Linked DNA regions of Drosophila melanogaster. The protein of the gene in region 1 interacts with the protein of each later gene in a pairwise test. Each region holds a gene or a part of one and is shown in the gene's direction. Other genes may lie near its edges.

Region 1 (7,684 bases):
CAGCTCAAACTCAAAGCCCTCGTGCTTGGTCAGCCAACTGAAAGTAGGGAAAGCAACATGATATAGAGGTGGAGATGGACAGTAGAGTACACCACTTACTCCTTGGTGGTTGGGCTAACATTAATCTTCAGCGCCTCGCTGCCCGACTCGAACTTGTTGGCGATGGTGACGCTGTGCCCGAAGAGGCAATACCTGGGCATCTTCCTGCCCACCACTCCCGCCAAGACAGTGCCCGTGTGCAGGCCGATCCTCATTTTAATTTGCTCGCCGTCGTGGGTAATGTGCTTCGAGCAGGCGTCGATCATCTTCAGGGCCATCCAGGCAACCTTGTGGGCGTCGTAGATGGAGGCTCGGTGGAGTCCACTGGCCACGCAGTAGGCATCCCCGATGGTCTCCACCTTGTACACGTCGAAGAAGTCGCAGAACTCGTCGAAGTCCTTGTACAGCCCCTCCAGCATGCTGATCACCATGAAGGGAGTGGCCCGCGAGCAGATGCTAGTGAAGCCAACGATGTCGCTGAACAGGATCGTAACATCGGGATACGTCTTGGCGTCAATGGAGGAGCCCAGCCAAAGCTTCTCGGCGATCTCCGCGGGAAAGATGAGGTGCAGCAGACTGACGTTCTTCTTCCGCTCCTTGGTCACCGCCGAGTTGGCCTCCTCAATGCTGTTCTTGATCTTGTCCATGCGCCGGCGCAGTCCATCCTGGGCCCGAGCCTGTTCGCCCACCAGGATCACCTCCCTGGTGGCGTCGTGCAGCGGTATGTCCGAGATGAAGAGTCCGTTGCAGGTCAACCCATCCAGGCCGTCCAGGAAGGGGGATCCAATGAAGAGCAACGAATTGGACTCGGGACAGTGCACCATCTGTCCCTTGATCTCCAGTCCAATGGCCGGGAAATCCACAGCGCCCGGCGGATTATTCAAACCGATCAGGAAAGGCGTGTAGGTGCGCCTCACGATGTCCCGGAATTTCATGGTCAATCCCTTGGGTCGTTTGAAATCAAAGTAGGTGGTCGCCTGGCAACCAAAGTCCGCCATGTAGGGCTTGTACAATTTGCTGAATCCCCTGCCCAACTGCACCAGTTCCAGCTGCTCGTTCATGATGAAGTGCCAGGGAAACATCTTGCAGAAGCTGGACGAGTTCATTTGCAGGTCGGAGGCGTTGCTCGAGTTGCTCCGCTGCACCGTTTCCGGGATGGTTTTGCTCACGGAAGTGGGACGACCCATCAGCATGGTCTGGGAGTTGTCCTTGACCAGCGAGAAGAGGTAGCGATACCGCCGGGCATCGCCCTCCACGGGCTCGATCTTGATGTTCACGTCCACCTTGTAGAGCATGCGGGTGAGCGCCTTCAGGGAGCCCAGGAGCAACCAGGCAATGACCGGGCGCTCCGAGGTGAAGATCAGCTCGCCCTCGCCGGCACACACGAATCCGGTATCGGTGACGTCCTCCTGGTTATCAAAGCGGACTTAGTTTAGCATTTAGGTAGGAACATTATCTATAAGTCTGACCTCCTGCAGCTTCAGCACATCGTAAACGCCATCGAGGGAGCCCAGGAATTCCTGCAGATCGGTGCCCAGGCAGCGGAAGGCTCTTTCAATGATACCTGTGCAGCAGCAGGTGATCAGCTCCTCGCCGAGCAGCACCAGAATCTCGCTGGCGCTGGCCTCGTCCATCTTCAGCAGCAGCTCCTGGATGTCCGCCAAGTAGTCATAGTTGGCACAGCTCTTGAAGGTTTGCGGATCCAGTTTGCTAGGGTATATTTAGATATAGTTTATATCTAGTATATAATTTCTTATAATGCTTACTTACAGCTTGTGGATATTGGGCCAGTTCTGGCGGTACTTGGCCACCAAAGACGTTACAGCCGTGTTGAGATCCTCGTTCGACGGCGCCGTCAGCAGCTGGATGGCCATCTGGAGGTGGGTGAGGGTCAGGGCGTCGTCCGAGAGCTCCTCGTCCTCGAGCGCCCAGTGGCCACCAGGCTCGGCGATGACCGAGGGCTGGCGTGTCAGCGAGTCCGCACGCCTGAAGAAAGGACACGCCATGTCGCGTGCTCGCCTCTCGGGTGGCCTCTATTCGATCTATTTTGGGGGATTTGTGTGGTGCAATTAGTGGCTTATACAATTTAACAATTCAATTATTGAACGCAAATCAATCAAACTTGATAAAATACGCGTTTGCATTTTATTGCATAATTTGAGGTATGAGATAAAAAGAACACTTTTCAATACTTTCAAAAACCCATTAAGAGCATTTAATCAATTCAAGTGAAATTATAATTGAGATGTGTGTTTTCTCCGGAAATACAGTCATCTAATCGATGTGTATCGTGCATTTTCCGCCCGGGGCTTTTCTCTGCTCTTTTCTCAAGTTCAACGTGCACTTGTGTGAGTGGGTGGCTGGCCTGCTACGTGCACCACCCACTGGTGGCCCACATAGGCTCGAGTCCCTGCAGTGTCTTGTGTGGCTTTGCTCCTTGGAGGTCAAGTGTGTGGCAGTCCTTCTTTATTTCGTTCTTGGCAAGGATCCCACTCGTGCTTTCTGGCCAGTGGCATTACCATAATTTCGTTTTGCATAATTTACGAGCTCCGCTCCTGCCCCAATCCCCGCCAGCTGCTGCTGCCCGATGTGTGTCACACTGGTCAGCTTTAATTTTCACCACCTCCTGCTTTCTACAGGAGTGTGTATTTGCCTGCAGGAAGCACCCACGGATACACAATTTTCCAGCTCAATCAAGCAAGGTTTTTCCACTTGGGACACTCGAACGCCTAACAATAGCATACTTTTGGGCTAGCACTTACTTGGTTAAGAAAATAAAAATTCTTTCGCTGGCCTCTTGGCTTTATGCTCACTTTAAAGCAGTGACCAAAATTGCTGTGGAAATTCTTGGAGCGCTGAGGAATTTTTTCGCACGCCTGAAAAATGCCACAATCCGAAACGGAATGAACTTTGGGCCACAGTAAGGTGGCGAAAAAGTCCGGAGCCAGCCAAGCTTTGCGGAGAAAGCTTTGGCAAGTGAAAGTGTGCAGAGGTTGTTGCATTGTTTTGAAGATACAAAGAGAGCGGAGAGCGGAGAGCGAGTGCGCATGAGTGTATCTCACGGATACATTCTGATGCTGGCGGAAAAGCTCTGCCCAACGGTCAATTCTCAATTAACCTGTTGCGTGAGCAGCGCTCTCCGAGTTTCCCGCTCTCCACCAAACGGCAAAGGTAAGAAATAATCAATCTGCCCTCCTGGGCCCGCAAAATGTATCTGTATCTGTATCTGTGGGATATCCGTATCTGCAGAATGCTGCATATGCTGCACACCACATGTCCGGCTGAAAACTTTTCACTCTCCAGCAATCGGAAACTTTTCAGTCCAGCGAATCGAAAATGTATATGATACGCCTCAGTTTATTGACGTTGGCCGACCGTGCGCAACGTGTTCTTTTTCCATTGTTTTCATTTTCGGGGGGGCACTGTATAGTTTTGTTTATTTTCCATTCCGCGCTCGCATCGTGTGAAAGTGCAGCTTGGCTGGCTCGGATTTTTTTTTAACCCTCTCTAATAGTTGTAATTTGCACTAATTACGGCCGCAATGAACGATTTCGGGCAGTTCGTAAGTAGCGCAGGTTCTGGAATTCAGGAATCTCACGGTCTTAAGCTTCATTGATAATATAGAAATTATGCGAAATATGTATATGTGTGCATTGCGGATGCTCTATCTAAACGCAGAAAGTGGAACCAAGACGCAGCACACAAAGCTTCGTCCTTGACCTTGCACATCTCTCGGTTCTCCGGACGGGCGCACTTCGAAAGCTCCTGCATTGAAAGCGAAAGTTTGAAGGACCACTCGAGTGCCGCCCACCACCCGAGCCCATTAGACCCCCCCTTAATAATTCCATGCAAAGCCCATTTATGTTTGGTGACGAGGTTCCGTCGAGCCAACCCCAAGAACCAACCCTAATCTAATCTGCCCCCCGAAACGGTTCGATTTCCCTAATCACTTGATTTGGCTGTAGTTTGGACCTCCGTGGCTCGATTTGTTATAATCGTTTAAGCTATTTTAAGACCAGGCAACATGTTAAGCCTCGTAATCATATTAAGATAATTATTGTAAATACTTAAAGCAATATATTTAAAATTATGTACTATGTATCGATTATAGGCTAAGTCGCAAGGCCCAAAGTTGGTGCCATTCCTGGTTACTATTGTCCTATACTTCTCGCTGGTGAGGAAGGATCCTCAAGGAGAGCTATGGACCACCGTGCTCAAATGCCTGCCCATTTTCGCGCTTGTATTCTATGTGGTGGCCAAGGGAATCTCGCTCAAGAAGGAGTAAGCTTTATAGCATCGAAATACTATATACTACTTACTTATTAACAAGAAATTTTTAACAGATACCGTCGCTCACTTTGGATTCTATTGGGTCTGGTTTTCTCGAGTGGTGGTGATGCTCTGCTCAACATAAATCTCTTTCCCTTCGGAATGATCTCCTTTGGAGTGGCGCACGTGTTTTATATCAGCGCCTTTGGCTGGAAGCCCATAAAGTGGTTCATTGGACTGCTCTTGTACGTGGCCGTATCGCTTTGTAAGTTTACTGGTCATTATATACGTATACCTTACCTGGAATATTTGAAACCCCCAGTTGTTTACTTCGTGCACACGAAACTGGACGAGATTCTCATCATCGGAGTGCCCATCTACTGTTTCCTGATCACCACAATGCTGTGGAGATCGCTGGCCCGCGCCGTGGACTCCAGGAACTTCCTCGCCGTGTTCTGTGCCATCGGAGCCATTCTGTTTGTGATCTCCGACGCCCTGATCGCGGTCACCATGTTCGTGGGCGTGCCCCTGCCCTGCGCCCGCCTCCAGATCATGATCACCTACTACGCCGCCCAGTTTGCCATTGCGCTGAGCACCGCGGACGACGGTCCTGCCCTCCAGCGCTCCCTTCGCAAGAAAATTAAGTGAAGCCAGTGCCCAGTGCTCATCTGTCGGAGGCCCAGAGACAACATGAACGCAACCACCAAACTTAGTACTTCCAAAGCGTCTAGAGTATTGCCATTTACGTGTGTTGGTTTCCCCATCCCAGTAGCTTAGTGCAACCAAATATTTGTTCCCTTTCTGATGGATGTGGAAACGGATCTTAGTAGTTTACTAGATGTTTGTTGACTTCAAAGTAATAAATATATCAATAATAGGTTCTATTAACTATTTTATTAAAAACCATCTTTGTACATCATTAAAAACCCGCTCAGATCGTAACTTAAGATGGAGCACGAACTAGTCGCTGCTGCTGGAACTGAAGCTCTCTTCTGAGGTGGAATCCCGGCGAGCACGTCTTCCGCGTCCTCGCACAGTATTGTTCCTGTTGGCCGCCGGCTTGCGACCACCCTTCTTTGTCCTTGGCGCCGCTCTGGTTCTGTTGCCCTGACCTTCTGGAGTGCTTTCTTGATCACCCTGGGCAGCGGTATCCGGGTTGACTTGCAGGCACTCGTTCAGTCGGTTCTCGAACTCGGTGACTACAGCTTTGAGCTCCGGCTTGGCCAACTTGTTGGTGTTGCTAATGATGAGCTTGAAGGACTGATAAACCTCGTCCACCTGGACCTTGTCCCTGTAGTGCTGCATATTGTCCATTAGCTTCTTCACAGCTCGCTCGTTGTAGGTGAGCAGGCCGAGGCAGTAGGCGATGTCGCGCCATTGACGCTCCACCCGCGTTACCGGGAAGCGCAGACACAGCTTCTCCACTAGCGTCTCAATCTGGCGATCCTTCTGGATGAGACCCAGGATATAGGACATGATAATGCGGTACTTGTCCTCATCCAGGTTGAGGTTTATGTCCCCCAAACGGGAGATGATATCTGGCAGGACGTTGTACAGAATGTTCGACTTGTTGGCTATCTCCTTGAAGAACTGCTTGGTGATATTGCGAATCTCCTCGTTGCCGTCCACAATGCAAAGTGCCATGTCGGCGATTTGACCCTTGACGCGTATCATCTCGTTGAGGATCAGATGAGATAGCATTTTGACGGCAGTTAGCCTTAACTCGGTGTTCGATTCGTGCAGCTGAGCGTAGAAGTGCCCCGTCCACGGCTCGATGATGTTTGGGAAACGGAAAGTGAGATCCGACAGCCCCACCACCGTGTTGCACTTGATTCGAATGTTCTTCGTTAGGTTGAGGATGTTCATCAAAAAGCTCATGTTGGACTCGCAGAAACGGGAGGAGACGGTCATGAGCCGGGCCAGAGCCAAAGTAGCGGCCTGTTGCAACGTGGGATCACCAAACTCACCTGGACGCTTGCAAATCTCTATGATAAATGGCGCCAGCTTGGAGAGCAGAGCATCCGGGTTGTAAAGCAGCATGTCCTCGCAGATGCCGTGGATTTCCTCGGCGATGTTGTCCTCTGCAGTCGCTCCCACCAGATCGTCGTCTGGCTCCTGCTGTGGTTCCGCTGCCACTCCGGACAGCCTCTTGCGCACCTCCATCGCTGACATATTAAGCGTAAGTCTGGCCGCATTATGTGAACTTCCCGCCTGCTGATTGCGGTTTTTACGCTCTTCAAGAGCCGTCAGCTCGTCGCGATACTTCATGTTATTATAGATATCCATGTCGAGAAAGATCATCTCCTTGATGGTCATGTAGCCGATGCAAAAGATTAAGCGGGAGACGAGATACACGGGAATCAAGGTGCCTTGCATCTGCGATTGGCTATCAGCTTGAGTCTGAGTGGGAGTAAGGGTCTGCGAATGCGGAATCTCCAAGGGCTGCGAGTCCGGAACAGTTTCCGTATCCGCTTTGTCTGGAGAGGGAACTATTGCAGCCGCTTCCTTGACCAGCCAGCTCTCATTGAATTGCTTGAGTAAAGCCGTCACCAGTTGCTGCGCAATCACATCCGGCGCCTGGCACATCCTATAGAAGTATTCAAAAACACTCATGGCCAGTGCGTCGAAGTCGTATAGACTTCTGTGGAAAAAGAAGTCGAGGAAGAGCCGCGTGATCTTTCCCACGAATTCTGCATCGCTGTTCTGACGCTTATAATACTTGGCAGTGTTGTTTGCATCGATTGAGTTGACCAGCAGCTGCAGACAGGAGGTAAATATCCGTGGATCCCGACGCACCCGCTCTCCGACGGCGATATCCTCGATGATGGCAGTGTTGGCCGAAACAATACTAGACTTCGATTGCGAGGCCATTATCAGGAGCTGGAGCGACAGGCGAGATTCGTTGGATGTAGTGCCCTCCAGTTTTAGCGTGAAGCGCTCAAAGAGCACCTGGATGACAGCAGCATCGATGTCGCCACCCAACACCCACTCGGTCATCAGCGACTCCAAGGCCGTGTAGTGACCATACTCGATTTCCGAAAGAAACTTCGACAGGTTCTGCACCACCTTAATGGCATGAGCGCGACCCGTTTGGTCCGTGGAGAACAGAACGCGCTTGTAGGCATCCGACACTGCATCTCGTTTCTCCTTGTCCGAAGACCAGACCAGTTGCAGCATTCTCTGCATTCCCGACTCCGTGCCGTGAATTCCGAACATGTACCCGGTGGTGAACAAGTCCACCGCCTCAAAAACATCCGTGTTTGTCTTGGACATGAGCATCTCGTGCAGTTTGGGGAAGGCTGAAGTCATCAAGACGGCAAAGTCAATGCTGTCTTTTAGGAACTGCACCGTTTTGATTTGCTGCAGCATTTCCTCG
Region 2 (8,204 bases), on another chromosome or scaffold:
CGTGACTCGAGCTTGGTTTTAAAAAATGTGATACTCTGCAAGTTGTTTATATGTATGGATTTCATGAATTATTTATGTGTTGTAATAATAAACGTGTTTCTTACACAATTTAATTGCTCAGCAATTCTACTTTTCTTTTTTGATTGCTTATATTTTATATTATATTTTTGATTGCTTAATTACTAAAATTATTATATGTTTAAAAAACTTGTTTCTATTTTCATAGTTTTTAATTTTTATACTTATATTTTATAACTTATAGAAATTTCTTGAAAACCCTAAAAATGACATGAGTTTGTTATTTATTGCTATGTTATAAAATAATTAGAAACCATTACAGCAAATATCGTTAATTTGTTTACTAGTGATAGAGTGTGGTAACACTAGCATTTCCGTCCACACAATGTTAAGGTCACACTCAGAAGCTGCAAATTTCGAATTTCGACGGTCGCTATGAGTGGAGCTCTCGGAGATGTGGTGTCCGAATACCTGGAGCGCGGCCCAGTGCTCGTGGTGGCGGACCTCCTTAGCCTGATAACGGTCTCGTCCTGCCTGGTGATCAAGGTTCCGCAGATAAACACGATACGGGCGAACGAGTCCTCGAAAGGTGAGCACCGCCCACACAACATCTGCAACCTATCCTCCCACTCATATGATACGGATTTATGAATTAGGCATCAGTGTTTTGGGACTGTGCCTGGAGCTGTTCAGTTATACGGTGATGTTGTCGTACAACTACACCAGTGGCTACGACTTCCTCTCGTACATGGAGTATCCTGTTTTGCTGCTGCAGGAGTACGCCCTGATTTACTACGCCTTCAAGTACCAGGATCTGCTGGGAAGGAGGACGCAAGTGGTGGCCATACTGTATAGTATAGTGGCCACTCTCATATACATGAAGCTCTTTCCCATTATCATCCTTAAGTTCCTGGTGGTGAGTAAGCCTGTATTGATATCACCTAGTGACTGATTAGTCGGGTATTCTTGCCCAGATAACGACTTCGGCGCAGTTCAAACCCGTTCCCCGCTCTCTTTTCCAATTAACTAATTATGTTTCCGGGCAAACGGGTTTGGTTTGATTTGTTATTTGTTTTAGTTTGAAAAGGCGGTGCTCTTAACTGGGCAGCATCTTCGCTCAAGGTCACCGATGTTTGTTGTATAATATTTGAGCGGCTATTAATACTTTCAGTGCTCGGGCAATATATATAAATCTCGTGAAATTCATCTAAATGTTTGATTTCCCGTCAGCCTTTCTGCACTCCCATTGGAGCCACGAGTAAGGTCCTCCAGCTGCTGGCTATTCTGAGGACCAAGGATGCCAGTTCCGTCAGTAGAACCACATGGGCGCTCTCCGCCTTTACAAACATGAGTGAGATCACATCTTGCATTCCATCACTTGATGTCATCAATTAACACATCATATATGTATCCCTTACAGCTCGAATCTACACGGTGTTCTTCCAGTCCCACGATTGGATGTTGCTATCAAACTTCCTGATTTCGACGTTCCTTAGCGCCTCCGTTTTCACCGCCGCTTGCGTCTACAAGAAGAAGGCCAAGGCGGAGTAATTGGCCAGCCTGATTAGAAAAGCTCAACATAGACAAACACTGCGCTGGCTGGAAATGCTTATCAGTCATTGTTTTAATTCTATTTGCTTATCTGTTTAAATTGATATTACAAATTCTTGTTTGAATCGGTTGTTGTTACTCGTTTAACTGTCCGCGTAGAAAGCCACCACAATTGCACCCACAACTGTTAGAATGGATACTGCATAGATTGCTCTACGTTGCCAATCGATCTTGGTCTTGGCCGGTCCAGAACCCACAGTTTTGCGCTCCTTGTGCTTGCGTTTGCCGAACTTGGCCTCGAACTTCTCGAGTTCCAGGCGGTTTCTTTCTTCCTCGTCGCGACGCTTTTGTTCCAGCTGCAGTTGCTCTGCCGCCTGGACGCGAATTTGCTCCGCCTTGCAGTTCGAGTCGCAATCCAAGAATGTCTGACCAGCACGGTGTTTGTCACAGGCAATCTCCTGCTTGAGTCGCTTGCAGGCGCAGAAAATGCGAACCTTCTTGCGGCACAACTCGGGATTTGGGCACTTGCCTGTGTGGCAGATGGCTGTGCAGCGATGTCCGCAAGGATACTGAAAAAATATATATATCACTGTAAGGCTTGATCGACAATGGTATATTACAGCACTTACATTCTTCAAGCATCGATTACCGCAGCTCCGTAGCTTTTCTCTTCGCTCGATGATCTCCTGGACCGATCCCGTTTCATCATAATACTCGTTGCACTTGTAAACCAACTGGTTGAGTCCACAGTGACACTTGGTCTTAATCACAAAGTTGCAGGGCGCACAGGGCGGTGGATGACATCCTTTGGGACAGGCGTGAATACATCCGGTTGGTCGGGGAACGGTGCAACCCTCCTCGCAGTTGGCACAGCCAGTTTGCGCAGACATATCCTGGGGAAGCGGTACGAAATGGCAAACCAATGAACACTTGTGATTGCCGCACTTAAGCTGACGTGCACACGATCGCTGACAGGAAGTGGGTTTGGAGTTCCAGCATGGCCAAGTGGCAACCTCATGACCTCCGATACAGGTGACAATGACGCCTTCCTCGCACCGTGGATGTGGTAATGCCTTATACTCATACTGTAAAACAAATTGTAGAGTTTTAATGTTGAGATAGGTGAGTTTTGTGATTATAGTTACCTTTTTGGCCTGTGGCCTAGCCTCTTTGGGTTTATTAACTCTAACTGCCTCGTGGCATCGTGCCTTACAGATGTGCCCACACTTGCTGGTGTCATTGGGTAGACCGCACACTTGGCCACATGGAGGACAGTCACCCTTGTGACAACGATGCTTAATGGCATGGTGACATTTGGGAGTTATGCTGCAAGAAGTGAGATTAAAAGTCGGTCATTATATATTGCGAAAGAAATACGAACCGACAGAGTTCCAAGCAGACAATGCGTGCACTTCTTTCCCTGCCACAAGGAACACTTTTTTTGGTCTTTCCACAGCGGCAGTTAATCTGGGATTCCAGTTTACACGGATAGCAAGGTCCGTTGTGGCACACGGACTGACATTTGTGCTTGTTGCAGCTCAGCTGCTTGCCACAAATCTTTTCGCACGGTGGACACTGGTCCCCACAGCACTTTAAAAAAGGTTATTGGTTAATTCGGCTGTATACATTTAAAATGCTTGCGTGCTCTTATACCTTTCTATTGCATGCATGCTTGCCGCAATCACGCATTTGCTTGCATTTAGTCTCGCATGCAAACTCTTTGGAGCAGGGCAACTCCTTTTCGTGCAGACCACAACGACACTTCTTTTTGGTTCTTATTGGGCACTGTAAGAAACATATTTCATTAGAGAATCGATTTGCTTCCCTGGTGGCTATCTTACGGAAATGCAAGGTCCACGATGACAACGCTGGGTGCAAGTGTGCTGGCCACAGGACAAAAGTTTTTGGCACGTATCGCCACAGGTTTCCTCTGTCTCATTACAGGGTCTTACCTGGGTCTACAGAATTAGGTAATCATAAATGAATATAAACTTGTAAATAAATATATCACATACATTCTTGCCGCATGGGCAACTCCTGACTTGCAAAGGACACTCTCCATCTCCGCAGGGTCCAGCGTGACACACCTTCTCGCAAATGTGCAAACCACAAGCAAATGGAGCTCCACAAACCTGAAAGAATATTAATGTTGTTTTATGCTTCAGCTTCAAAAGGCTTTTCTTACATTCTGACACTTCCATTTCCGATCGGAGCAGTTGACCATCTTCGACTCCCGCTGGCACTCGCAAGGTTGTAAGCTTTTGCTGGTGCATGGAGGACACTTTCCTGGCTGATGACACACCTGATTACATTTGTGCTTGCCGCAGGCTAGAAGTTCCTTGCACTGGAAAATCATTTTTTTAGTATGGTGGTCAGACAAAATTTCTTAAAACGTTAAGACTTACAGTCTGCTGACACGTCCACTGCTTGTCAATGCACCTCACGGACCTAGGACTAGATTTACCACACAGGCACGAGACCTGCGCCTGCTGCGCACAAGGAGGACATGGCCCCGGATGACATAGCAGCTTGCAATCGTGCCCACACTTCGGTTGCAAAAGCTTTCCGCAGTGCTCTCCGCATGAGTGGGGCACAAGGAAGGGCTGGTTCTCGGGGTTCACCTCCTTGCCGCAGAAGCAGTTGTACTGCGTGGGCTTATCGGCCGGTTGGTAGTCCCTGCGGCACTTGGGGCAGCACCAGTGAAGGGATTTCTGTCGCTTGGGCGGCACAAATTCGCCCAGATGATTGTAGTGGCCCTGGCCGTTCTGCTGCTCTGCCGCCTTTACCTTCATCTGCATCATGCTGTCGTTGGCCCACCGTTGGATGCACTTCAAGTGAAAGAAGCAGTAACAGCTCTCGCAAGACCAAATGGCCTCCACCCGCCGAATGCTTCCGATGCAAATGAGACAGGTTGCCGCTCCCGAGTGTAGAGTGTTTTCCAGAAACGTACTGGTGCGTGCCGCTTCCTTTGAGCTTCCTGCGTTGTCCGACGGTTTGTAGTTCTTGTATAGGAGTTCTGAAAAGATAAAGCACAAAATTTGATGGTTTTCAAATGACACGTCACAAGCATCGGTCGATTTACCCAAAATGTGATTCTCATCCAGTTCGCCTTCATCCTCGGAGCTGGAGGCGTAGGTGTCCACCAGTTTTTGGGCGGCAGCCAAATTTTTAGCTTGCGCTTTATTAAACTTTTCCATTTTTAAGCCGGCGTTTTTGTCTATCAACTGGGAATAAATTCCTGGGGTAGAACCAGGGATGGCTCGTTCTCTGATAACAGCAATTAGGGGATCTAGTTCCGAAAGGTACACATTTGTGTGAGCTTTCAGTTTCCAATTGGGAATTTCATTTAATTCAAAAAAAATACATACATACACATTAATACCTAAATTATCAAACATCCTCTCTGCATATTTTATTGCATTTAATAATTTGGACCAACATTTTGAAGTTTACAATTAATAGGTCAGGTATCTAATGTGGCAGCCCTGGTATTCGATGTTAAACATCTGTTCGTGAGTGCGACACCCTGGAACAGCTTTCACATCATTTGCAACAAAATAAAATAGAGAAAATTAAATATATCCAGACATACCGACTACGATCCGATCCAAGATGAGTTTCCTAAATTACGTGTTTGGCCCCAACCTCTACATGGAATACCGCGGTGTGCCGGAGCCGCAGCGCAAGATGTACGAGGCAGGTGCCGTGGAAAAGTTCGGGGAGCAGATTCTATCGACGGTAAGTGCCCTGCGATCCCATGGGGCAGAATCTGGAGCATATGGTAATGTGGAAAATCGACACTCTCCGTTGCAGCTATCGGTTATGTGGTCCGTGGGCTATTATACTTCTCCGCTGCTCGTCACATTCCTATACCGACGCGGCTACCTGGTGACCGATTCCATACCGACGCTGGCCAAGATCACCACCAGCGTGGGCCTCATCGTCATCCTATCGCTGGTGATGCGCGGCCTGGGGCGCAAGCAATCGCGCTCCTACTCCAACATGATTAAGGCCCTCGTCCGAGCAAAGTCCTCCAAGGCACCAGGAGATGCCAACAGCGAGCTGCGTCGCTTCGACATCGAGTTCAACGCTTGGCCGGTGGACTTTGATGTGAAAGCTCTAACCGGGTGAGTGGGCTACGCCTTTGAAGTGTGCCAGAATAACATCTTCGTTTTCAGTGATACCAAAAAGCCGGTGGTTACGGCTAGAAGGCGGGAGCCCATCCAGCTGGCGACACTGCCCTGTGAGGCCATCGCCTACCTGGCCATAAACACCTTTGGGCTCTCCATGATCTATCCGGGTTCGGTCAAACTACTCCAGAAACTTATGAGTAAGAAAGATATACATATGTGAAGCTGTCTGAAATGTTGTTAAATTGCAATCCGATAAGCCCATAAGATAGACTTCTACATATACTGAACCTAAAATATTTTGCAGGACCCATGCTGATCTCCGGACGCGCCAAGCTCATCGAGGATGACAACGGCATCCGCTACAAGGTTAAGACCATTGACTCGAACGAAATCGATACGTTGTTCATTGACAATCGCCCAAACAACGTGGGAAATGGCAAGACTCTAGTCATTTGCTCCGAGGGCAATGCCGGTTTTTATGAAGTGGGCATTATGGCCACCCCAGTGGCCTTAAAGTATTCCGTTTTGGGCTGGAATCATCCCGGATTTGCCGGCAGCACAGGCACTCCTCATCCCCACCAGGACAAGAACGCCATCGATGCCGTGGTGCAGTTTGCCATCAACAATCTTAGGTTCCCCGTAGAGGATATAATTTTGTATGGCTGGAGCATTGGTGGCTTTAGTACACTATACGCTGCCTCTGTGTATCCGGATGTCAAGGGAGTGGTACTAGACGCCACCTTCGACGATGTGCTCTACTTGGCCGTTCCTCGCATGCCAGCTGCACTGGCGGGCATTGTCAAGGTAGCCATTCGAAACTACTGTAATTTGAACAATGCCGAACTGGCCAACGAGTTCAATGGACCCATATCCTTTATTCGCCGCACTGAGGATGAGATCATTGCAGAGTGAGTGATAACTTTTGCATTTGGGCAGAGGTCTTTCCTAAAACGTAACCCATTGATTTCCATTAGGGACAACCACATTGACACAAACCGCGGAAATTTCTTGGTCTTGTCAGTGCTCAAGCACCGGTATCCCAACATTTTTGGGGCTTCCCAGTTGAATAAGGCCAAGGGGCTGCTGTCTAAGCCCCTGGAACCATACAGTATCCCCGTCGCCGACGAGAAGCTGTGCATGTCGCGCCTGATCACCTACGCCTCTGACGAGGGCAAGTCATTCCCCATGAACATTGGAGCAGATTACTCGGAGGAGGTGCGCAATCTGATGGCTGTGTTCTTGGTGGGTTTATTCGGCAGTTTAAATGGTCTATATATCTAATACTGTTCACCTTTCAGCTGCGCAAGCATTTACGTGACTATAACTCGACGCACTGCACCCAGCTGCCCGGGGAGTTCTTTACCATGCCGTGGGACATACCCACTGAGCAGGGATTTGTGTTCACCTAAGCTCATTCCGCAGGTGATCCACGGCCGTATGCTTAGATTTAGTAAAATGGTTTTTAGTAATTTTTGCCTTCTGACTGCTTATTAAATTATTCTAACTGGGAACAGCCGGGTAGCTGGTGTCTTCTGAACTGGTGTGAAATTATATACAAAATAAATGTCACAAGCTAAACTAGACGCGTCGTCTTGTGGTTAGTTTCTATTTCATGGTACAGCTAAAATTGGAGGGGAGGGGCAGTTCAACACTTAGTTCCTACGAGTTCTTCTTTGATCCACCGAAGCCGGAGAAGCCCATGATGGCGGCCATGTCGTCGGGCATGCCGCCGGACTCGAAGTCCGTGTCCTCGGCCTTGCGCTTCCGCTCTTTTCGCTTCTCCTTGCGGTGTTCCTTGTAGCGATCCTCCTCCTCCTTGGCCTCCCGCAGGCGGCGCTCGAGCTCGTAGTCTTTCTGCTTCTCCTCCATCTTCTTCTTGTTCTGCTGGAAGCGCTCCTTTACCTGGTCGACGGTGCTCCGCTCCACCTTCATGGACATGCCCAGATTGCGCTGGTGCTTCTTGCCATTGATGTGGTCCAGAAAGTTGATGGAATCCTTGACCACGCAGTCGCAAACGTTGCAGTAATAGCCACCGGATTGCGAGGTGGGTGTGTTCTTGTTGATGACAACGCTCTTGCCCAGCTTGCTGTCCAGGTCCACCTTATAGTCGCGTCGCTTGAGGTTCTCCCGCTGTACGGGTTCTGGTGAAAAACAAAAAGACTTTTATTATGTGTGCCTTCCAGGGAATTTAGACACTGACCTTCTTCCTTGGGTGCCACCTGGTTGAGCAGCCGCTCCGCCGCCAGCTTCTCGTACTCGTTCTTGTCCCATTTCCTTCGGTGGTCATCAGGTCGCATCGTCATGGTGGCGCTGGGATGACAATTGCACTAAAATCTATTCGGTAAAAGTAAGGCAATGAAAATTTGTAAATATTTTTGTTAGCGATGCGGCGGTTTGCGTCTGAGCTAAGATTTTGGACAGGGATGACAACTTGATATTTTTTTTTAAATGTTATCGATGGAACCAGAAGGCGGATGTGAAAATGTAAAAGCAGTTGTTAAT
Region 3 (7,675 bases), on another chromosome or scaffold:
CCTGGAAGCCACCGTCACAGCCCATGTTGCCGTAGTCATCGGCACAGTCCACCAGATTCTGCTGCGACAGCGAGGCCAGCACTCCAGTCCGCCGGAATAGATGTCCTTCGAGCGCTCCTGTGGTGGCGAACGACCAGCAGGCACCGCATCCCACACCCTGGAATCCCGGTGGCGTCACTCCGCCCTTCTCGCGCCAATCGAACATCTCGGGAAGATTGGCACTCGCCGGATTCCTGGCAGTCACAAAGTTGATATGGCCATTCGTATATCTCCTGCAAGGTAAGTAAAACATTTTAGTATTCCGTTAAGCAAAGATTAAAGCAAATTAGTAGCTTACTTAAGTGGCAACCAGACTACATTTAAATGTTATTCATAATGTTCTTAAATGTATGACAAACAACCGATAAGTTATGAAACATTTGTTATGGAGCTTCGTCGTAATAAATAAGTTCGATATGGAAGGGTTTTGTTTGTTTCCACCCATTTGGTTATAGTTTTCGGGAAACCACAAACCTATGGTCGGAATATTTGATCAATTCTGATTTCTTGATTAGCATAACCGGGAAACCAATCGGCACCTACGTAACGTTACAAATCATATGGACGACGATACCGAAACCCGTTTGAAAGTTATAAGCTGGGTGATAATTCGTTTATGGCCAAAAAGGGGACTTCCCCCGAGCTCTAGATATGCGTAAGATGGTGCTACTTACTCGCCAAATTCGGAGATTTTGGAGCCCAGCAAGGTGGCTATCTCCTTTCTGGTCATGTCGGCCAGCGTATTGACGCCCAGCCGGAATCCGGACACGCCGTTGTCGGCGTTCTTATTGCTCAGCGTGATCAGCGACATCTTGGCCGCGAAGATGCTCTCGCGATAGACTCGCTCCTCATCCGAGTACACCTTGCCCGTCTGCCGGAGGAAGTCGTCGAAGTTTTGCACATCGCAGAGCTTGGGAAACGACTGCAGTTGCTGCAATGACACAGCACCCAGCAGGGCCAGTCCCAGCGTCATCTGCAGCCACATCGTTGAGCACATCCGCATCTGGAACGGTGGACAGCAGAGCGAGTGGAAAGCGTTAGGTAACCACTTGGCCAATACATAGTTACACCATCCCATCCCATCTCATCGCATCCCGCGACCCCTTTTCATGCCCCTTTTCTTGCCACATCTATCTGTCAACGTTAATCACTTGGCCGCAACTCGACCCGTTCATTCACCTCCAATCGAACCAACCTGCCGTGCAGATCGTGAAGTTTCCTATAAGTGGAGCCGCTATAAATATTTATTTATGGACATATTAAAAGCAACGTTGCTTCCTAGAAAATCTGCACAATTTGAAAACAGGCCACACTCAAAATCTATGCGTTTATTCGATATTAAAATGTTTATCCAGTAGATACTTTTTATTGGTAAATATTCAGTGGAGTGTCTTCATTGACATAAGAAATGATGTTATGTCTTTTTGAGTAATTTGAGTAAGTACAATGTTTGGCAAAACCAAAATAAAACAAAGAAACTAATAAATTGTTTGTTTAACAAGCTTGGTTTTGAAGAAACTAAACCGTTTAATGATCGCCTATGCAGAAATCAACATTGTTTCTAAGACAATCAAAAACATAATGATCGATTAAACGAATAAAAAACTAATTATTATTGGTTTTTTCTATCACGCTGACTATCCGCTTCTGTCAGCAATCGCGTTAATGGGTAATTAATCATGCGCTGTCTTAATTTCTCAACTTTATTCGATCTTACCAAATTAAATAGACTTTTGAAACTAGCAGAGCATTCGCTGTTCGTATTTCCGGTCTGTTTTACGAATTCGATCACCGATGAGACGTGAATAATTACTGGGTGAATGAGCTAATTTGCATATGCTTAGCATAATTACATTAGTGCAAGCATTCGATTCGGATGAATTTCGAAATGTATGAATGATTTCGCGGCTTCGTCTCTCCTTTTATTTCCTCAGCTCCCAAATTGGCTCCATCGAGGGCCCAAATAAATCAAAATCAAATCTAGATTAGGCAACCGCAGGCTAAGATTTCACTTTCGTTGCCATAAAATACTGATCACATGCTGTGCCCGGTGAAAGGCGATGGATTCCCCTGTTTAAAATCAAATTTCGAGTCGAATGTAAGCAATTGCAGTTCTCTTGTCTTCGACGGACCATTATGAATCGAAAAATAACAACACACACGACACAATATGTTGAAAAGATCGACTTAATCACCTTTTATGGATATCTGGGAATGATATGTTCAAAACACCTTCCGCGTTCACAAATCACAAAACTATTCGAAGATGCTGAAGACTCGAAGACCGGCGAGATTATAAGCGGCGCTCGACCCGCACACCTTGGTTTTATAGAGTCTGGAGCTGGACCGTGGGACATATGGCCAAAACTGGATGGGCCACCAATTTGAAACTTTTGGAATACCGACAAGAGCATATTCATCTTCATTTCGACGGGCTATCTGGTTTATGGGTCTATAGCTGTCTCCATTATATGCATGCTTAGTAATTGTCGATTGCCTAATGTGTTGGTGGCTATAACAACGCATATTAACTCATTTGAAACAAAAGAGAAAATAGTCAAACATGTTTTTAAATAGTTAATAATTGATGAGATCGAAGTCACAGTTGTAGCGCCTATAGGATTACAAATTTCAATGCAGCAAGCAAAGTTTTAGGAAAGTTTTTAAAGCGTCTCTAAGTAGTTTGTACTATTATATCCCTTGTAAATAAATAACACTTTGATTTTTATGTAAATAATACAATTACAGAATGATAAAGATGCAGACGGATGAATAATGGTCTCGACTTTCAATAACTATAAATTGAAATTGAACCATGAAGAGATTGATTAGTGGCCAATTTATTTGCATTTCAATTAACAGATTCGTGGAATCTGAATTTGTTGTTGCGTCTACTAAAAAGTTCATTGACTGCTGAAATCCCTTATGGACTTACCTACATATTTGCAAAATTTCAAGATGATCCCTCATTACTACTTCGAATATATACTACCTGTAGTATATGCTAGACTACCGCAATGGAAATTACCAAACAACTCACTTAGCACTTGGTTTACAGCAATTTGGCCAAGTCTTCCAACGGGCCTATCTATCTATCTGTCTATGTATCTTTCCATCTACGTATCTATCTATCAACGCTGTTGCAACTTTTATGGGCGCCACAAAGTATGACTGTGATTAATCATGCCTGCGCTGAAGACAAAACCTGAAGACTAAACGATAAGTTGGCATTAGAGGGGCGTTTACGATGCTCCATGGGCATATGGGCTTGGGTGTTTTTTTCTGAACTGGGCCAGTGGGGATTTCGAATTAACAGAGATACGAGAACCCACCGCCGAATCGCAACGATACGAAACGGGGCATTTGACAAGTTTATTGGGCAAACAAAGCGCACCCCGACTTTTCCTACCAACGTCGGCTTATCGAGGAGACCCAACCCGGAATATGAATACTACGGATAGTACGTTTGAGTGCTGCTGGCCAAGTGCGAATTCAAGGCCTCGTAGAAATCTACGAGTATTTGCACTTTTCTTGCGAAAGTAAGTCGCTTTGGTAAACTTCTATTTGCGTTTGCAATCAGAAGGAGAGTTTGCCGGTGCCTATAAAAGATCGTTCCATGGTTCTGGCGGCATTAGTTGGTGCGGATTTGGGTTTTCGTCATGTTCAAGTTGCTACTTTGCTGCCTTCTACTAACCATCGACAGTGGATGGGCCTTTAATCATGGCCAGGATCTAGTGGACTTTCAAACTTACGAGGTATGTGAGTCATCAAGAAAACAAAGTCTGGATGGGATTTAATTAGAAATTATATCTTGTATCTTATGGCATTGAAAAGGATTGTATTGAGTAATGGAATTCAAATCTTTCCATTTACAGGACAATTTCAACAAGACCTATGCCTCAACTTCGGCTCGCAACTTCGCCAACTACTACTTCATCTACAACCGCAACCAGGTGGCGCAGCACAATGCCCAGGCCGATAGGAATCGCACCACCTACCGCGAGGCAGTGAATCAGTTCTCGGACATCCGGCTCATCCAGTTCGCAGCCCTGCTGCCCAAAGCCGTGAATACGGTGACCTCGGCGGCCAGTGATCCACCGGCCAGTCAAGCGGCATCTGCCAGCTTTGACATTATCACGGATTTCGGACTCACCGTGGCGGTGGAGGATCAGGGCGTGAACTGCAGCAGTAGTTGGGCCTATGCCACCGCCAAGGCCGTGGAGATCATGAATGCCGTGCAGACAGCCAATCCTCTGCCCTCGTCCTTGTCCGCCCAGCAGCTGCTGGACTGTGCGGGCATGGGCACCGGATGCAGCACCCAGACGCCCCTGGCTGCCCTCAACTATCTCACCCAGCTGACAGATGCGTATCTCTATCCGGAGGTGGACTATCCGAATAACAATAGCCTGAAAACGCCGGGTATGTGCCAGCCCCCATCCTCTGTGTCAGTGGGCGTGAAGTTGGCCGGCTATTCCACGGTGGCCGACAACGATGATGCCGCCGTAATGCGTTACGTATCGAATGGATTCCCCGTCATAGTCGAGTACAATCCGGCTACCTTTGGATTCATGCAGTACTCCAGTGGCGTCTATGTCCAGGAGACGCGTGCCCTGACCAATCCAAAGAGCTCACAGTTCCTGGTGGTCGTGGGCTACGATCACGACGTGGACTCCAATCTGGACTACTGGCGCTGCCTGAACTCCTTCGGCGACACGTGGGGCGAGGAGGGTTACATCAGGATCGTGCGCAGGTCCAATCAGCCCATTGCCAAGAATGCCGTCTTTCCCAGTGCGCTTGCCTAAGAAGGATTCCGATTTGACCTTATTTCAAGTTAATAAACTTAAGTTTTATGTGTAAATTTTTATATGATGATTTTGTTTCGGATTCAGTAGATGCTGTAAGTTCTTTAAAAAAACTTAATGCTAGTAAGCAATACTATTATTATTATTATAGACGCATTATCTTTAAATCAACTAGAATTCGAGTAACAGATTCGGGAATATCTATAATAACACTATGATGATACCTTAAGAGTGTGCCTATCTATATCTATGATAGTTCATAGAATAGAAGAATAGTAATAGAACCATCCAAGAAATAGATTTGGGAATATCTCAAATAAAGCTAAGATAATTCATCGAGATCTTGAATATTACATAAAGAGTAATCTTGAAAAAAAATCCCCCGTCTTCTACCAAAAAGTATCGTTTGGTTTTTTGTTGTGAAAGCTTACAGCTTTTTTGTCTCCATTTATTGAATTTACCATTTTATTTAGTTTATTTATTGATTTTTCATCTACAAGCGGAGCTTTACAGACTTAAATGCTAAAAATTAACAAGTTCACTTTATTTTCTTTTCTTTTCTTGTTTTTCGCATCTTTGATCTGCTTATGGATTTTATACTATTATCTTTGCAGTGTTTTCTTTTTCTGTTATGTTTCTCTTGCATAATAAATAAGTTTCCCATTTTGTTGCTATCCGTGTTGCTGTGATATAAAAACGAAAGGAAATTATATAGATATATATAATATTTAGGTATTATATTTATGGTTATAGAATATTCGACTCAGCCAGCGCAGACAAAAGCTTCTTTTTTTTGGTGTGTGTTCTTTCTGTAGATTTCTTAATCTTAGTTCTCGTAAATTTTTTAAGTTTCAGTAACTTGTTTGGAAACGTTGTTATTATAAATACTTCTCGTTATTATATTTCAATTGCGTTAAATAATTTGAAATATATGTATGTACGTTGTGTTTGCATTTTGTTTTGTTTTAGTTTAGGTTTTTAGTTTTTAGTTTTTATTTTTGGTTTAGAATGTCTTCCCGTCTTCTTGTGAAGCAAAGCTCAATGATATGATTCACGCTGAAAGGTGATTTAACGATTTTTATTATTTCAATAATTTTGCAGTTTATAAAGATTGCGTGATCTTGTGTTTTATTAGGTTTTTCTTTGTTTTTTGTTTTTTGTTCTGGATGTGCTTGAGTTGCAATATTTAGGGTACTTCCTTGGAAAATCGTTGCGGATGAAGAACAAAATCGAAATTATCCATCGTAATCGGTTTAGTTGTGGAACCTTAAGTACTGTGACTAGTTAATGGGGTATTGATTTTAAATTTCCTTCTTTTTCGCCATTTAATTACTCTCTTATTTTTTCACTATTACGATACCAACGGCTAGTGTTTGTTATTATTTTATAAATTAAAATTAGTTAGGTTTATCTACATATGCTCTCGCTTCTCTCTGTATTTATCTTATTATCTTTCCGTATAATTCTTAATAATATTTAACTAAATAAATATAATGTTATATAATTTATGCAATTTCTCATGTATATATATATCTTTGTTTTTTGCTTTTGTTTTCTACACAAAATGATGTGTTTGTAACTGGTTTTTATATGTTGGCTAGTGTTTCTGTTTATTAATATCTTGCAATGTTTTGTGTTGACTGTACCTCGGTTTGTGTTCGAATCGCATTGGGGACACAAATCAAAATGTTTATGGACTTTCCGTCTAAAGTATTAGGAAGATTTATGTATATCAGCCATGCTAGCAGCTCCACTTCCGCCGGAATTTCGCGGAAATCCGTTGAAAATGTATCATAGGGATCTCATGGCTATATAGTATGGTTTAGTTTTCGTGAAGCCTACAATGGACAAACTTTATTATTTCCTTCTCGTATTTAGTATTTGATGGATTCTCCTTTGGTTTCATTTATTTACTCTGTATAAATTTCAATGCTATTCTCTTAATTTTCTCACTACGAAAATTGATTTTCTGCTTCCAAATGAGTTATGAATACCAAATTATTGCAACTTCTTTGCCGTAAAGATTGGTGTTCATCCTTAGAACTTGCACTAATCGGTTTCATAAAGGGTTTGCCTTTGAGGATGCCCTTCCTCATTTATTTTATTGAATTGCAAAAAACAGATCTCAAATTTTGAGACTAGTTCACAGAACAAAAGCTTATAAATCAAATGAAACTATGGATTACCTTCCAAAAAGGTTGTAGATAAAATCCCAACATATAATATGACACCAAATAATAAAATAATCCTGGTTACTGCAAAGTATTTATCGCAAATAGATAGATGTTCGTCTTTAAAATTTGCACTTACAGGTTTCTTGAAGGGCAAGCCTTTAAAGATTCACCCAGTTATAAACTAAAATGGAAATACTTTAAAAAAAAACCAAAGAGGAGAACGCAGTTTTTAGTAAGAAACCCTTTTTCGCTTGATCTCGTGGAAAAAGGCATTCCTACATCGCTGATTTTGAATTATTTTGGGTTACGACTTATGTTGTAGATCAAGGATCTGCATTTCTTACTAAGGACTTTTTTTTAGGGTCGACGGTTGAATTTTTTTTTTTAGGCGGAGACATTTACTGGCAGTTTTTCTGTATTTTAAAATTAATTTCGAACAAAGGCTTAAAAAAGGTTATTATTTTATTACTGCCCCCAAGAGAGTGTGTGTTACCTTTTTCGATTTTATCCTGTTTGATTTATATAATGCATGCGAACGCATAAGGTAAGTTAATTTCCGTATTATTCTTATTCAATTTACGCTTACGAACACATTAAATGATATATTAAAGTAAATTATGCAACTAAATGAGCATCAACTGCAGAACTGAATCGAAAAAC
Region 4 (8,493 bases), 660 kb from region 1:
CGGTAAACAAACAATTGCCAGGCACCTAGCTTTGGAGTCAAAGTCGGAAGTCAAGTGCACGCTAAGCTTCGAAAAATTCGAATATAGATGGATATCTATTATTCGCGTAACATTTTCACTGCTTTTCAGAAATCACGGGTATATACCCTATATGAGGTATAAATGTTAAATATTTTATTGTTGTGAAATGGAATAAACATTAAAGCCTCTAGATTTATAATTAGATGTGAAGAATACATTATTATTTAATTAAAATGCGAAGTACATAGACTAATATTTTAAAGTTAATAGCTGTCGGCTATGCAAACGAATTGACGTCAGTTAGCCTCTGATTTCCATTTCAATTAAAGTTAAAGTAAAGCGACAAGGAGCGCACTGTATCTAATTTCCATTTGAAACTATGCTATTTTCGACGAAATAAACGACTGACCACCACCGGGTATCTGGTAGTCGGAAAACTCGTACATTGTTTACGACTCGTACCTGTTTTCATTAATGGCCTGACTCGCAGCGCAGTCAACACCTGTCAACGGCCCAAAAGCCATGTCCGTGTCGACGTCAGCCACTTGGCCGCTGCTCCTCCGGATCCGCCAGATCCCCCATTTCCTCCATCACCGGTTTCCCCTGTCCGAGCCACTTGAGATGCATTTGCCTATCCCCGAGTGGAATTAATAGATTTTCATAGTTTTTGCACTCTGGCGTGGCACGCGAAACGCAATCAATAAGGCACTAGAATGCATTTCTCTGAATCGCTTTGGTGACTGCGTCTTTATGCCGCCCCCATCACCATCTCCATCTCCATTCCTATATCCTCCATCCAACCAACCGACGATCCCCTACCCCCCAATAAAATCGCCGGGAATGAAGATGTTGCTCCATGCAATTCGGCGAGTTGTTGTTTGCACGATTTGTTGCCGTGGCCGAGCGTCTTTGAACCCGCTCTGAATTTCAATGGCTTCCGTTCAGCCATGTCCATGTGTGTCTTCCAGCCAATGTGTTGGTAATTCTGCATTCTACCGTGACTGATACTTTTATACCCTCGATGGGGCATTTTATTTTTGCATTGAATGGCGAAGTTGCACATTGTCACAAACCATATTTTCACTCCGGGAATTCCGTCGAGAAGTGTTCCCAGAAGTGTTCCCAAATTAGATTGCTCACCACTAAATTCAGGCATTTGCTTGACTTTGCAATTAGAGAGTAAGCGACCAATTCCAAGATCTTTATAGTATATATCATTCCTTGGCTTCTTCAAGTTGTGAAGGGTATTGAAAGCATAGGTTTCTTTGTGTGTTAAGAACATATTGGAGGCGTACGCTGCGTTCCGTCTGGCCATAAAATAAATCAAGCAGCCCGACACCAGAGTCAATAGTAAATCACGGCTGAAACGGCAAATTACCAGACACTACTGGCCATCATCTCGTCATCGAGACTCCTCGAATAATTATGCGGTGACGCGACGAATTTTCCACACACTCCAAATGCCGAATTAGCCCTGGCAATTACCTTTTTAGATTTGCAGCTTCTGGACTTTGAGTTTGATTTGTTATGGCCGCTGTTTTCTTTTTCTGTTTGTCTTTGAACGGCGCTATTTGCTAGTCGATTTGTTAGAATATCGAGAGGTAAAAAACCCAAATGACTTGGCAATTTGCCTTGGCTATTATCGCGATGACGAAGCTGGCCAGTTTTTGGGGGTGCAACCGTTTGGATGGATCCGCGATTTCGGCCCGGATTCTTGTCGCTCAAGAGCACCAAGGTCAACTTTCGCTTTTTTAGTGCTCCATTTTATTGGGTTCTTAAATTTCGGTTGCGTTTATTGCACTTCGCTTTTCAGCTCGACTGTTTGGTTAGTCCATATGATTTTGGCCATACGATTGAGCCTGGTAATGCAAGCTAATTTGACGGTCCATAAACGGTCTGTGTGGAACATAAAAAAAAACCACCATATAACTAAATAGTTTATAAAAACAATAATCGTAGAATGATCAGCTTAAAAAGTATTTTAATTTGGCTCGAACGTATTTCAATGCCCTTGAAAATAAACAGGTAGATAGTTGAACCTTTAATAACTGACTATGTCAGAAACGAAGAATAACTTTTTAAGCTAATTACTAAGACCAGGTGCGAAAATCGGCGAGAAATCAGATTTTCAAGGTATTGACTCAAAAAGGTAACACTCAGTTGTCTGGGTAAATGTTGCCCTATTTGCTCATTGCAAACTGTCCGCCTACAAATCGTAACTTTTTATATAATGGAGCCCCGAAATCTGCATAAGTAAAGAGGCATTTCAAAGCAATTACACAGCATAAATAAAGGCATCAAACAATCTGCAGGCCGTTGTACCTCGAAAGTGAAGTAATTATACATCAAAAGCGAATCATGTCATTGTCAAGTGTTTGAACAGAGCTGAACAAGATCGGATCATACCTGAAAAGTGTGCACTTGAGTGTCTTTTGATGGGGCCACCATTAATATGCAGTGTCTTGATCGCGAATATTATTATTTTAATTTCGTTATTTCGCATTTGTCATTAATGGGCCTTTTGTTTCGTTTTCGTACAGCGTTTGTGCGAGAGATATTCGAGTTTATAGACTCTTTGAGCTTGGCTCTGGTGTGAGAAGATACTGCGTCAAGATACAGATACAGATGGGATCGGCGACAAAACATGCTGGGAACTACGTGATTGATGGCGGCACTGCGATTACCAGCCGAACAGCTGAACAGTACTGAACTCGACTTAGAATACTCGGCCCAGGCGAATATATTATAAATGCTGGGATATATGCGAAATCAGTGAAATCTTGTCGCGTCTAAAAAGGAAAATCACACAGCAAATGCAAAATTTATGAGCGAACTACGTCGAACGACGTCTCCGGGCGAACGGAGCAGGAATACCAATTGGGCTGGGTTTTCGATTGGGATTCGTATAGGGATGGAGCGGATGTGCACTGCACTCGAGGATGAGTCAGCTGAGCCGGAGGTCCGTGTGGGTTCAGCCCTGTCAGACAGATCAAACTATAAAGACAGGGTCCAGGTTCGCCGAATGTCTTTAATTAGCCAGCACGGTTTCAGAGATCTCATCTAGTAATCACTTTATTTACCAGACACAACTTGGGGTCAGCATGATAATCATATGCTATCATCACTTAATTAACAACGGAATTTTTTATACAAGATAAAAGAACATACATATAATGCAAAGTAATCCAATACATTTTCGGTTAATCATTTTGCACTTCTTAACAATCATAATGATAATCCGAAAATTCAATCGCTATGTATTCAATTATATGGAGCCTCATAATATATGATATATGTACACGCTGCGTATGAGTAATATTTACAGTTCATCTCGAAATCTTTGCTAATATTTTGAGTATTCGTCATCTTCGTTGGAATGATAACTACTAGTATACATTGGGTATGGGAATATTCAATTTTGAAACTCAACTGAATAAGGCAATTGTAAAAGATACTGGCGTAATCTTTGATTACCAGCACGTTTTGTTAATTGTTTATTAAAGATGCTTTGGAACCTTCAAAATGCTCCATTTAATAGGATGAATGGCAAGCTGTAAGCTAAGTAACCGGCGCTATTTTAACCCAAGTGACCAGCGCTTAAGTGAAGTCCGATGTACATATACCGCAAATATATCTCAAATGCTTCGGCTTTACGAGGCTCCATAAAATTGGATCATAACACTGGCAGTGTCCGAAAGCGATGCTCAGGTGCGGCAAGTTAGTACGACTATGTACATGTGTACACTTCAATCGCCAGTCCAAACTGCGCCACTCAATTTGACTTGATTTTTTTTTTAAGTTTGGCTTACCGCCCACAAAACGCCGCAGTCGCCGTCGCAGTCGACGCCACCGTCGCTGAGGCGCTGAGCCGCTGAGCCACCAAACCGCTGAGCCGCTGAGATGCCAAGCGCACCACCATCGAGCCGCTGAACGGCGCCGATCCACGGACTGAGAAGCCGCCGTCAGGTGTTGTGGTTTTTGCGAGCCTCAATCGAGCTGAGTCTGTTTTCGTCTGCCTGGCAGCGCGGTTCTGGAACGCGTAACGCTCGCATCGACTTCAAAAGTTAGTTTTCAAACTCGGGACTCAATTCGCTGGATATACAAAACCGATTCGGTTCGGATCGCGGTGCGCTCCCAGTTTTTCCACCTGTTGCAACCAATTTGGCATCGCTCTTTTCGCTACTCTTGTGCAACAGCGCGTGCTGCAGTTGTAAAGCGCGTTTGGTTAGAGAATTTTTATATATTTCGAAAGTGGCAACTGAAAAAGATAGAAAACCAAGAGATATATCCCTGTATGCCAGCGAGCAAGATTCGTTTTGGCAGATCCACGAGCCCTCCAATTAGCCAGCAATTTGCGGAAAGCCACTCCAATCCAATCCGTGGCCGTGGGATCTGTGCCTGTGCAGCCAGCAAATCGGTGAGTCTTGAATTACATGGGATTATAGACAATCTGCTCTGCTATCCGTATACCTGGTAATCGTATGACATATGCCATTACGTATATGCTAGGCACTGTAGGTAGTGGTGGTGGTAATGTAGCTGGCGTTGATGGCTTTCTAAAAAAAATACCCATATACCCAAATACCCAAAACGGGTTGGATTCGCTCCGCAGGTGCAGGAGGGGCCGACGAAGAGCTCATAGCCAATTGCCAGCACACAGGCATTCACGAAAAAATGTGTGAAATTTCATTGAATTTCCCAAATTTAATACACAAACAAACCCACTCGGCAATTGGGAAATAACTCATTGTTTTGCCATTGCAATGGCAAAAGAGTTACGGCTGCCAAAGAATCGATAATCGCCAGTTGGATTATTATATTACTCCCGTGGTCTTTGTGTATTTCAAACAAGTTTGCATTCATTCGTATTTTATATATGGCCAAACCCAAAAAATAATTGATTAGATTGGGAAAAACATTCATTACTGGATCAAGAGCAGTTCGATCAATATTTAAATTCCCACTTAGCAGCTCACTAATTTGGCAGAATAAATAATATTATCTGTGACATTTGGTTTTACAAATCCGTGACTAATTGTTCTGTGCTGGCTATAAAAGAAATTACTTGATGCTCAAAAATATACAAAAATATACATACCTTTTGTAAAAGAGACTAAAAGGCCAGAAGAGGATTTTAAATATTTAGAAGATACGCATTTCAGTGAAATGTCGCAATAAAAATGTGTTGCATTAAATATTATTATATTACGTAAATCATATTTCAGCTGCGCAGAAATGTGCAATTTGCCTCAGCTTTACAAGCCATTTAAAATCCGAACTCAATTAAGCGATGTAATTTGGAAATTAAAGTTCATAAAGAATTTAAAGAGTGGACGCCCCCAAGCCCTTTATACAACAAATACTTTCGTTGGCCAAATTTAAATGGCAATGAAATGCATTCAATGAAATATGCATGAGAATATCATCATATCGTGCTGAAATGAAACAGAGTTTAAAAAATCGATTTGTGTGCCACAATTAAATGGGCCTCAAGGATGCAATTAAAGTATCTAAGTATCTGTGCAGGAAAAACCCAGCCAACTCTTTAATTGAGGCGAGACGAGAAAATAGTGCTAAACTTCATGTCATAGCGATTCAATTAATTCGCAATTTATCAATTTTCAGTGCCAGGGCTTTTTGATGCGGCCAAACATATTTCATTTGTCCACCACAAACAACTGGTATTCCAGTTCGGATGCGGATGGGGATTCGTTGGGAGTTCGCTTCGGGATCCGTGGGCGGATGGCTCTGGTGGCTCTGGTGTTCCATGTTCCATGTTCAGTGGGCTGACGTGGTGGGGCGTCAAGTGGAAAATAATCGATGATGTGCCCGGGCACAATGCAAACATTGAATCAAAGTCAAATAGCATTAAACTTTTTGAACTTGCGAGGCGCGGCGAACATAAAAAAAATGAAATAATAATAAAAGTTTGCCCGCCTTCCAAGAGGCGTGAAAGCGCACACAAAAAAGTGGGCAAGCGGGGTAGGGGGTTTTTTTTTGGGTTCCTGGGTTTTTGGGACTCGGTGCTGCAGTTTTGGATCTCCCTTTCCAGAGATTTAGTGCTTTTCTTTTTTTTGGATGGATAAGCGCAGCGTTGCGCAAATATTTGACAAATCCCGCGAAAAGTCTGCTTATGTTGTCACCTCGCCTCGTTGCCATTTCTATCCAGCACCCAGGGAATGGAATGGGATAACTGGGATGGGATGCGATGGGATTTGCAGTGTGACTGGCACTGGGCCAGTCATGCTGATTAGGATTGCACCGAAAGACACTTGCCACTTGCCACTTACCACTTTCAACGTGCGACAATGTTTTCGAATTGAAATCCGAATCGGAATTTGCATGCGAATGCTCGCGGTGTAATTTATATTTCGCACTTGGCGCACTTTTCATTTCGCTGCGCGATTTTGTTTATGCAATTTGGCCAACTGCCTGCCGAATGCCAAAAGGAAGGCAAACGCCTCAGGCTTCAGGCTTCTGGCTAACGAGTGCAGGCGCGTGTCTGTATCTATATCTGTATCTGCACCTCTATCTGTATCTGTATCTGTATCTGTATCTGTATCTGTATCTTGTGGATAGGGAAGACCCCCCGAGATTCCCATATAGCAGGTGAAGGCGAACGTAAATGCGCCAATTTGTATGCAAGCAGCATTAATCGAGGGGTAATCCGGCAGCGATGCATTGCAGCCAGTTAAAGCCCAAGCCCAAGCCGATTCCGAATCCAAATCGAAGTCCAAAGCCAAATCCAGAGCCAGAGCCACTGCGTTTCGACCTGGCCAAGAGGGGCCGACATTACGTGAGATGTGCAATTGCACGAAATTGATTTGCAATCGATAAATGTGCGAATATTGCTTCTGCTGCGAATTAGCAGCCAAACAGCCAAACGGCCAAGTGTCCAAATGGCCAAGATATCCGAAGGCGCTCTTCGCCTTGCATTTTCCAGGCGTGTTTAAGTATGCATAAATAACTCATCGGCCGCCTGACCATGAATCCAATTGGGAACATCTTCATTTAAATTGTTTAGTAGCCGAGCAATGCGGCTGAGTAATGTTTGCATTGTATCTGCATCTGTGCCTCCGGTATCTGCACATTTTTCAAGCTGCCAAGTGGCAACGTTCCTAAATAAAGGTATGTTTTGAACATAAATTTTGTCAATTTCAACTATTATCGGGTGAGTTTGCATTTACCATACTCGTATAAAACGTACGGTTTTAAATTACAACAAAGATCGAATTTCCATGCAGATATTCTATATATTTGTAGATAAAAGTGTTACACTTGTAGCTGTTCATTTGAACACGGCCATATTAAATTCTGCATGCTCATTTAATTAGTGTAATTATATTTGGCACAGTACATATGTAGCTGCTCTGATATGTTTCATATTACACTTATTAATTATTTAACGAGCGCTGTAATATATAATTGTAAAATTCCTGCGGTCTGAATAGCCCACTCTGAGTGACAGCCAGTTGATTTAAACGGAATGTGTTCTTTAACTATAGATGAACCATTGATAAGAGGTTAACCCAAACATTGCAATTATTTATATATTTTAATGCAGCATCTGGGCGGAGAAGCATATAAATTATATTGTTGCTGAAACTTCCCATGCCAGCATTGATATTGATAAAATTCAAAATAAATCCAATCGCTTTCGGGCGTAAAAAAAATCGCCTCTCTTCTATCAAAATCGCTCCTTGGCCTGTGTGTGTGTGTGTGTGTGTTTGTGCTCACGCTTTGTGCTGCAAAAATTGAAAAATCAAACACAAGGAAAACCACTCGAGATTCAGCAGTGCAATCGATTTCCAAAGCAACATTGGTGGTCGTACCAAAGCAGTTGTATTGGTAATATTGGTAGCATAGTAGCCACTGACAAGGTCAGCACTTGGGCTTTTATTTGGGGCCCGGCGGTTGTCGCATTCTAAGCAAATCGCAATTGCCATATAGCTGCAGCTATCTACTACAGCTATACTCGTATATACAATACATTTGCTATTAGCTCGTTGTGGAATCGTTTGTTGAATCGTTGTTGAATCGTTGTGGAAATCGTGGCCCGGCCGTAATACACGTATTAATCTTGCCTCGCTTCTTGTTAGATGTGGCGTTGTTTTTGCGGTGGCAGCTTTGCTTTTGCCTTTTTGCTTAGTGCTTTTGCTTTGCTTTGGCAGCAACAAGTGTTTAATTGCGATAAATGCACCTGACCGCCTTGAGCCTGAGCTTGGGTTTGGGTTGAGACTGGGTTCGGACTGGGTTTGGGCAAGGCTTTCTGGTTCTCTCAGAATCTCTGCTGCTTTTCCACCTGCCCACTGGCCAGCACTACGCGAAAAGGTCAACACAATTCGGCTGCAGGCCAGCGGCATTGAACATGAACGTGGCCCGAAACTCTGCACGTAAAGTTGCCAATTTTTGTTGTTTGTTTGTTTGTTCGTTAGTCAACGTTTTCGGCCCAATTAAGAGCGGGCCCATAAA

The links.
Region 2: the proteins of CG7582 (region 1) and CG1309 interact in a two-hybrid assay, tested with the Drosophila melanogaster proteins (one large-scale study listed by BioGRID).
Region 3: the proteins of CG7582 (region 1) and CG6337 interact in a two-hybrid assay, tested with the Drosophila melanogaster proteins (one large-scale study listed by BioGRID).
Region 4: the proteins of CG7582 (region 1) and wat interact in a two-hybrid assay, tested with the Drosophila melanogaster proteins (one large-scale study listed by BioGRID).

The regions. Positions count from the first base shown.
Region 1 is NT_033777.3:29,677,763-29,685,446, reverse strand, and holds CG7582 (uncharacterized protein), read left to right. Parts: upstream 1-3,405; 5' UTR 3,406-3,580; coding exon 3,581-3,601; intron 3,602-4,150; coding exon 4,151-4,320; intron 4,321-4,382; coding exon 4,383-4,956; 3' UTR 4,957-5,206; downstream 5,207-7,684. Other genes in the region: Gycalpha99B (guanylyl cyclase alpha-subunit at 99B), read right to left, coding at 1-37, 100-1,448, 1,509-1,749, 1,810-2,045; CAP-D2 condensin subunit, read right to left, coding at 5,269-7,684.
Region 2 is NT_037436.4:4,254,362-4,262,565, forward strand, and holds CG1309 (uncharacterized protein), read left to right. Parts: upstream 1-5,068; 5' UTR 5,069-5,181; coding exon 5,182-5,307; intron 5,308-5,382; coding exon 5,383-5,696; intron 5,697-5,747; coding exon 5,748-5,899; intron 5,900-6,006; coding exon 6,007-6,610; intron 6,611-6,676; coding exon 6,677-6,944; exon of another isoform or gene 6,945-7,000; coding exon 7,001-7,111; 3' UTR 7,112-7,282; downstream 7,283-8,204. Other genes in the region: CG1265 (uncharacterized protein), read left to right, coding at 454-607, 675-934, 1,249-1,369, 1,439-1,569; CG15011 (uncharacterized protein), read right to left, coding at 1,713-2,138, 2,199-2,654, 2,715-2,895, 2,951-3,159, 3,223-3,354, 3,411-3,527, 3,585-3,701, 3,755-3,913 and 2 more; CG11586 (uncharacterized protein), read right to left, coding at 7,362-7,843, 7,903-8,005.
Region 3 is NT_033778.4:13,831,086-13,838,760, reverse strand, and holds CG6337 (uncharacterized protein), read left to right. Parts: upstream 1-3,664; 5' UTR 3,665-3,698; coding exon 3,699-3,794; intron 3,795-3,914; coding exon 3,915-4,841; 3' UTR 4,842-5,186; downstream 5,187-7,675. Other genes in the region: CtsL2 (cathepsin L2), read right to left, coding at 1-272, 714-1,042.
Region 4 is NT_033777.3:29,015,968-29,024,460, reverse strand, and holds the start of wat (waterproof), read left to right. Parts: upstream 1-4,054; 5' UTR 4,055-4,438; intron 4,439-8,493. UniProt on the Drosophila melanogaster protein: Catalyzes the reduction of saturated fatty acyl-CoA to fatty alcohols. The preferred substrates are C24:0 and C26:0. Necessary for the final stages of tracheal maturation, to facilitate the transition from water-filled to gas-filled tubes.